Linked DNA regions of Schizosaccharomyces pombe. The gene in region 1 interacts genetically with each later gene. Each region holds a gene or a part of one and is shown on either strand. Other genes may lie near its edges.

What was found. A genetic interaction does not mean that the proteins touch.
Region 2: of etd1 (region 1) and pab1, changing one suppresses a phenotype caused by changing the other (phenotypic suppression), as found in Schizosaccharomyces pombe (3 studies listed by BioGRID, with this or other methods).

The regions. Positions count from the first base shown.
Region 1 is NC_003424.3:5,086,142-5,090,262, forward strand, and holds etd1 (Spg1-binding protein Etd1), read left to right. Parts: upstream 1-1,837; 5' UTR 1,838-1,947; coding exon 1,948-2,857; exon of another isoform or gene 2,858-2,919; coding exon 2,920-3,185; 3' UTR 3,186-3,497; downstream 3,498-4,121. Other genes in the region: translation initiation factor eIF4A Tif1, read left to right, coding at 1-600. UniProt on the Schizosaccharomyces pombe protein: Involved in septation.
Region 2 is NC_003424.3:507,022-511,416, reverse strand, and holds pab1 (serine/threonine protein phosphatase PP2A regulatory subunit B-55 Pab1), read left to right. Parts: upstream 1-1,523; 5' UTR 1,524-1,725; coding exon 1,726-1,769; intron 1,770-1,813; coding exon 1,814-1,854; intron 1,855-1,931; coding exon 1,932-3,214; intron 3,215-3,236; exon of another isoform or gene 3,237-3,257; coding exon 3,258-3,281; 3' UTR 3,282-3,895; downstream 3,896-4,395. Other genes in the region: cleavage and polyadenylation specificity factor complex subunit Yth1, read left to right, coding at 81-250, 347-637, 697-748; yip5 (Rab GTPase-binding protein), read right to left, coding at 4,125-4,395. UniProt on the Schizosaccharomyces pombe protein: Phosphatase 2A affects a variety of biological processes in the cell such as transcription, cell cycle progression and cellular morphogenesis, and provides an initial identification of critical substrates for this phosphatase.

The DNA.
Region 1 (4,121 bases):
CAAGTTGTTCTTCTTTCTGCCACCATGCCTCAAGATGTTTTGGAAGTCACCACCAAATTTATGCGTGATCCCATTCGTATCCTTGTTAAGAAAGATGAGCTTACCTTGGAAGGTATCAAGCAATTCTATGTTGCCGTTGAAAAGGAAGAGTGGAAGCTTGACACTCTTTGCGATCTTTATGAAACCGTCACTGTTACTCAAGCCGTTATTTTCTGTAATACCCGTAGAAAGGTCGATTGGCTTACCGAGCAGCTCACTGAGCGTGATTTTACCGTCTCCTCCATGCACGGTGATATGGACCAAGCTCAACGTGATACTTTGATGCATGAGTTCCGTACTGGTTCTTCTCGTATTCTTATCACCACCGATCTTCTTGCTCGTGGTATCGATGTCCAACAAGTCTCCTTGGTTATCAACTATGACTTACCTGCTAACAGAGAAAACTACATTCACCGTATTGGTCGTGGTGGTCGTTTCGGTCGTAAGGGTGTTTCCATTAACTTTGTTACCAACGACGATGTTCGCATGATGCGTGAGATTGAACAATTCTACAATACACACATTGAGGAAATGCCTATGAACATTGCTGACTTGATTTAAAAAATACAAAAGTCCTTTCTTCTCTTTGTTCTAGATATGGAACGCTCCGTGATTGCTCTTCTCGCAACCCGGCAAACCTCCCGCAACTTAATTTATCTGCTTTTCTTTGCCCATGTTTTTAATGCTTCTTTTATCTGTGCCGGTTGATAGCTGCTCACCATATGGTTTTTTGTGAGTCGTGTTAGTGTTTGCTGAGAAAGGATTTTTTTTTTCGGCTACGCTGTTTATTCATTAGGTCACAAAATAAAAGGCTGGATTTGGTTGATTTACATATATTTACTCTTCTTTTGAGCCTCGTGTAGCTGTTCTGTGATTACTTTTATAAATGTGTTGTAGTTTGGTTAGAAGGTTTGTCGTTTTTTTGTTTTTTGGTAAAACTAAATGAGTGAATAGAGGATGTCAATCTGTATTTTGGATTGAACTTTTATTTACTGCGTATACCTTTGTGGAATTAATTTTTTTGCTCAGAGCTAACGTATTTGTGTTAACCGTAACTGTCCAGTCGTACTTTTGTAAGGAATTAGGAAGTTCCTTTTGCTAAAAGTTAAATGGTCTGTAGTAATAAACAATTCTGCTAGGTAAAAGTTATTATTAATCATTGATCCATTAACCTATTATATTCGCTATGTTTATATTAACTGTGAGATTAAAGGTTGCATCACTTTACGCTCTCAAAAACGTAGCTTTAAACTGCAAACATTATTTGACTAGTTTTAAAGAGTTTGACTTTTAAGTCAATGTAATGAAAGAAAAGAAGAAAACAATGTTTTCCCTGCATCAACAGAGTTAGTTGAAGAGTTTATCGTAAGCAAGTAAAGAAAGTTGAAAGGCGTATAGCAACTTTTGATGCTAACATTGTGCTCATGAACGAGCAGTGGCTTTGAATCTTTGTAGAGTCATTCATCTTTTCAGTTTTTGGCTAACTTATTTATTTTAAGTTGAACATTTTTAATGAATAAAACTTGTAATAGACAGTCTTTTCCATTTCCTAGTCTATCTCTGCTAGCATTCCATCTTTACAAAGCCCTATTTAACGTAACCACGATTAACGCGTTATAAAGTATTTATCAGAATTATATAGCGCTTAAACAACATAACGAATTGCGTTCTTTGATGTTATAGAACTTTGTATTTCCTTATAAATCATTTACAGATTCATGTTCAAAATTCGTTATGTCGTTCTCATGACGACCGTTTGTTTACTAACAAAAGCGTGGTCTTGACGAAAGTGCCTTCTACCATTATTTACACACTTGAATGGGTTGACGCGTACAGTCTTTTCTCTACGGCAATAATTCTTTCTTTAATTTAGCTTAAGAGAAATATAGATTTACGAGTATTTCGTCAATGGGAGTTGTATACGGCAGTCAACAAAATTTAAGTGAATATTTCTATTCTTCTGTCAATATGGCAGAGGTTCCAGATACTTTCGAAGAGAATAGGGGTCATTCTTTTGAAGGTGTGACTCTACAACGAAGGCATGTGAAAGGCATGAAAAGTTATGGTTCAGATATTACACCGAGGCGCCCTAAACAGCTTGGATTACCGAAAGAAGTTAACACCTCCGAATGCATAGATCAAGGCTCATGGAGGAAACCCTCAGCATTTGAAAGCTTAAGAAGTTACTCCCGAAAATTTTCTAAACGAATTTTTTCATTCATAGGAGTTGAGTCAAAAAGTACTGTACAACGCAACGCTTCAGGTGCAGACAGTACGTCGTTGTCTCACTTTACGGCGAATGAGATAAACAAAGGCAACTGTAAAAAAACTGCGTTAAGTAATGAATTTAATTCGGCCAATAAAGGGAGCAAGGCTAGTGGTGTAGGTGCTGAACTACCTTCAGTTAATGGATTTATTGAAGGTGAGCTTCATGATGATAATGAGACAGATTCCTTTCGGATAAATGAATTAGCTAAGCAAATCCAAGAAACTTCTTTGGGTGCGACTACGCAAGAAGATGAGAGTTCGGATGGTATTTGCTGGGACGAGTTATCGACTACTTCGCCAGAGTCGTCGAAAGTGTCGGAACCTATCATTCAAGACAATACGCAAACGACTCATATAAATAACGATTCATCGGATATTCGATTTTCATCTCGTTGCGATTTATTTGCGGACGATGCGGATTCAGATTGGGAGCAGGACTTTAATGTGAAATTCGATAGTCCATTGATAATTCCCGAAACGGTAAACAGTGCAGGACACACCGTTCGAGAACAGCTTTTTGAGGTGAAGGAATTTACGAGATCCATCAAAGGTAAGACATTCATGTGTTGTAATGCTTTAGTTTTAACCGCTGCTAACTAAAAACACAAATAGACTTAAAAGATCTTTACGAAAAGGCAAATTCCAAAGATATTTACGACAAGGACTCAGAGATTTTAGGAGAGGCTAAGGCTATTCTACGGTTAGCGGATCCTGCAAATTATTCTGATTTAAAGGATGAGGACGCGCAAAACATTTTATCAAAATATAAAGTTAAGTTGGAAGGGGATTCTTCATTAGATTTCGATGCGTCCATGCTACCAGGGCTAAACGATCATGTGCATTATTTAATGTCCCAACTCCAACTATTATTACACTGAGTTTCTCTTTTTGGCTATTTAATCCATTAATGGAATGGGAAGTATCTATTTTGTTATCCAAAGTGTCAAAATTTCGCTTAGGATAATTTCAATAATTGTGAGAACAGTTTCGCATTGGTGGATAGCAAGTAAAGGTGAAACTGGCCATTACAACCTTTTTATACTTCTGCATCTTAAGAAGCTTTTGGTTTTATTGTAAATTTCTTTCGTTTTCTCTTTTTAATAAATCTATTTTGCAATAATATTTCGGAAAAAGTACTAGACAGATGTTTTGTCTTTTGTGAATATTAGTCCAACCTTTATTCTGTGATAAAAAGATTTTATTAAATTAAAGTAAAAGAATGTAAATCAAAAATACCTGAAAACCCATATCTATGATTTTGCTATTTAGTGAGAAATTCCTCATTGCACTGAAAATCCTTAAAACTAGTACCCCACTTCATACTATACTACGGGGTTAGACCACAATTAGTTGTTTATCCTTTGCACACCGCAAACCTATAAATTTTCTTTTTGTCAATTCCACATATTCTACAAGGAGGATTGACTTTTTAGTTCACTGATTATTGCTCTTTCAACAATTTATACGCGGTAGTTTTACTGCTCTTCGGCTCGTATAATTTTTTTACACAACACTTTTATCGATTTTTTAAGCCGAATTTCTACATTTAATATTTTATCATTTTTTTCTGCTCATTAATATTTACCGTATCTTTTCGAAAACCCATTGCTTTGGATGTGTGTGTGTGTCTCTCTCTCTACGTTCCTCAATTTGACTGCATTACTTTAATATACTTACAACCTGAATTCTGTTCGGTTGGTAATTCCTGCAATCGTTATTTGTCTTTGTCAACTTCGGATTTTTTATTTTTACATATAACAGTAGTTGCATTGACTTCGCTGCACAATTCCTTACACTGAGTTGGCATTCCTTGC
Region 2 (4,395 bases), 4.6 Mb from region 1:
TGAATGCCAGTCAATAAAGTATTTGTGATATTCAAGTCAACTGAACAACGTTGCCTCCGCCATCTACTGGTTACTACAAAATGACTGATTATATCAAAGATAAAGCTATAGCAGCTGATTTTTCTTCAGTTCAATTTCGTTTTGATAACTATTTAAAGCAAAATTTTAATTTCGGAAGGTCTGCCTTGCTAAACTCTGGAAATGGACGCGATTCTGGATCGAAAATGGGTAGCGTGGTTTGCAAGCATTGGTATGTATATATAAAGAAGAGTAATATGAATATATATTTCATGTATTTTTCTATTTGTTTTTGTTTCTACCTTCATGATAACTAATATTATATAAGGCTTCGTGGACTTTGTAAAAAAGGTGAACAGTGTGATTTTTTACACGAGTACAATTTAAAAAAGATGCCTCCATGTCACTTTTATGCAGAGCGCGGCTGGTGTTCTAATGGCGAAGAGTGTTTATATCTCCATTTGGATCCCAGTAAACAAGTTGGTGTCTGTGCCTGGTATAATATGGGATTTTGTCCTTTAGGACCTATATGTCGAGGCAAACATGTACGAAAACCAAGGCCTTGCCCAAAATATTTAGCTGGGTTTTGTCCGCTAGGCCCTAATTGCCCAGATGCTCAGTAAGTTTTTTGAAGAATTATAGTGTTGACTTTCTCTTTCTATTACTAACATGTTCTAGTCCTAAACACTCTGAACCTCCGCATCCTCCTCAAAAGCGGAAAGACTGGTAAAGGATGCGTTTTTTAATGTGTCACTGTATATTAGGTAATGAAATCAAGTTATCAATGGAGTATATGCAATTAGTGATGCCGTACATTGATTATTGAGATTTTTTTTTATGGAATAAAATTAATTATCGACGTTGGGTTTGTCTTGGTTGCGGCGAACCAAATCGACACATAATCGGGATAATAGAAGTATTTAGAAACCGAAAAATAAGTTTTAAATAATAAGTCTCCCTTTTACATATGTTTTTTGCAACATAGAAGGAAAAGAAAATTTAGGAACTTAAGTATCGTTTACCAGTATGTAAAACGCTTACGTAGAGCGCCATCGTAATGTATCAAGGACGGTTTATTCATTTAATCATTCATACGTTATTCGTAAAATATTTGCTACTTTCCAGTTATGTTTCTTATTTTTTTGTAATTTACTTATCTGCTGTATTCAATTTTGCAAACTATAAAAACAATATGGATCTTTTATATGACAATGAACTTCTAGTTTTTTATAATCAAAAACACCTTTCTTTAGCGTACAAATGATTAAGGTTTCATTAATGGGAAATTGCCAACAAGTTTTACACTGGACTTTGTAAAGTTGAGCAAAAAATCCTATGTGTAGTAAAGCGTAAGATGAACACTGAAGTAATGAAATAGTGTTGTATTTATCAAAAATCCATTAATAACTTAAAGTCGCTTAAGGCTTGATTTACCGATAAAAATTTTACTGAGCTTTTGACTCGCCGAAGAGTGGTGTAGATTCGTTAGGGTAGCAGCATTTGATACGAACCATCAAGTTAGGAAAATCAGCAGCCCTCCAAAAAAGCCAGTGAAAACTGGGAAACTTTGTATCAAAACTTTTGAAAAAAGATCCAAAGACGGTATAGAGATACCCTTAGAAATTTGAAGATCAAGATCTTCGTATACAATTGAAATTGGCAAAGTGTACCAACGGGAACGAAATCTTAATATAATACGAGTAGAAGATGGATGATATAGAAGACTCTTTGGATCAGTGGAAATTTGCCCAGTATGTAAACGATGTGTGAAAAAAATTAATGACTAACTCTTTAGATGCTTTGGTGACAAGGGTGATGTGGAAGACATCACTGAAGGTATTGGTTTTGAGTAGTTCTCTCATAAAAGAGTTCTCTTTTACTTTAATCACTGAATAAATGACTAACAAGTTTAGCCGATATCATTTCAGCAGTAGAATTCGACCACACAGGTGATTATCTAGCAACCGGCGATAAAGGTGGCAGAGTCGTTCTTTTTGAGCGAAATCATTCGAAAAAGGGTTGTGAGTATAAGTTTTTTACTGAATTTCAAAGTCATGAACCCGAGTTTGATTATCTCAAGTCCTTAGAAATCGAAGAAAAGATCAATAAAATTCGCTGGTGCAAGAGGACTAATCGAGCGCATTTTTTACTCTCAACGAATGATAAAACTATAAAATTGTGGAAACTATATGAAAAGAATTTGAAAGTCGTTGCCGAAAATAATTTGTCGGACAGTTTCCACAGTCCTATGCAAGGACCTTTGACAACACCTTCGCAACTTCGACTCCCACGACTCAACCATCATGACATGATTATCGCTGCATATCCACGACGTGTTTACGCTAATGCACACGCATATCATATTAATTCGATTAGCGTTAACTCTGATGCAGAAACTTACATTTCCGCTGATGATTTACGTATCAACTTATGGAACTTGTCCATCTCCGATCATTCATTCAACATAGTTGACATTAAACCTGAAAATATGGAAGAACTTACGGAAGTTATTACTAGTGCCGAGTTTCACCCGATAAACTGCAATCATCTCATGTATAGTAGCAGCAAGGGAAATATCAAACTCTTAGATTTGCGTCAATCTGCGCTCTGCGATAATCCATGTAAGCTTTTCGAGGATCAAGAAGATCAAGATTCCAAGAGTTTCTTTTCTGAAATCATCTCTAGCATTTCAGACGTTAAGTTCTCACAAAATGGCCGCTATATTCTTTCAAGAGATTATTTAACTCTTAAGATATGGGATGTCAACATGGAAAAAGCTCCCGTTAAAACTATTCCATTGCATGATGTTTTGCGATCAAAGTTATGCGATCTCTATGAAAATGACTGTATTTTTGATAAATTCGAGTGTACCTTTTCTGGTGACGACAAACACGTTTTATCAGGAAGTTATAGCAACAACTTTGGGATTTACCCCACAGATAGTTCTTTGCCTGGCGATAGAGGACAGATAGTTTTGCAAGCCGACAAGGCTGCATTTAGAGCCAGAAAATCTGCTGCAAATAACGTTCCAAAGTTGAATGCTGTGAAAAATAATGATTGGCGGTCACAACCTCAAGCTGCGATGGGATCTGCTTCTGTTGGCCTTGATCCTGATAACCTGGATTACAATAAGAAGATATTACATGCCAGTTGGCATCCCTTTGAAGACTCAGTTGCCATCGCCGCTACTAATAATGTACGTTTGCTTATCAACTTTTTGTTTACTAATGTTTCAATAGCTTTTTGTTTTCTCTAAGCTCTAATGTCCTTATGTGGAGTTTGGTTTGTTTTTATGATCTACGGATAGACTGAACATAGTTCCTTTTTTATTGAACTTCCGGGAATAAGAGTTTTCTTACCTTCTTCTTTCAGATTGTATTCTTATATACACACACCATTTTAACCATTAATGACAGAAATAAAGTTTTTAGGACTAATGATAAAAGGGTGCTTTGTTTATCTCCCTTCATGTATGCCGTGAATCGATACATATGTACTTTGCTATCCACAGTATTTTTCTTTTTCTCTTTTTACGTGTTCCTTTTTAATCTTGAAATTGTGGTGATGCATCGTAAATTTCAACGTTTTTTCAATATCTCACAAAGTTTTTTTCTCTTGTTGAAAAAAATCTGAATTTGAAATCGTAAAAGTACTTTTCAGGTTAAGCTTCACCATTAATTTACCTTCAGCTCTTTTTTGTTGAACAACGAGTAATAATGTGTTAAGTTTTCTATATAAATGACGGGAGATCGATTGCAAAAATATGACTAAATGTCATAAAGTCTTTGGTTCACTAAAAAGGCTACAATTATTTTTACTAAGGCATGATTCATCAATGCATAAGAAATGATTATTTATACGTATTTTGCACCTGAAAAAAAAACCTAGTAAATTGAGGGAACATTAGTAGCTATAGTAAAAAGAGTAGAAAATCAAATGTAAAGCGAATATATGTATAAACTGAATCATATAGAGTATACCAACACTTAGACTCAATAGGATCTTAAATGCTGAATGACTTTTCTAAAGAATGAAAGAAGGGGAATAGTATAATTTTCGAATGAAGCAATGCGACTGATAAAAGAAACTCCTCACAAATTAGGATATTAACTGAAGAATATGAGTTGAAGAGACAAAGCGAGCAAACAGTGAAAGACGATAATTCCGAACAATAAAAGTTTGCACAAATTTGATCCGGCTTGCTGACAGATAGGATATAAATTTCTAGTTAAAAACACAATGGAAATTAACAAACCAATCCCTGTAAGTACATATTTGACAATATGGGAGGCCAAAGTAGATAGCAATCCAAACGGAGGAGTTGCTAAAGAAACGGGAAGCCAAACAATGTTAGCATATCCATATAAACACAGACAG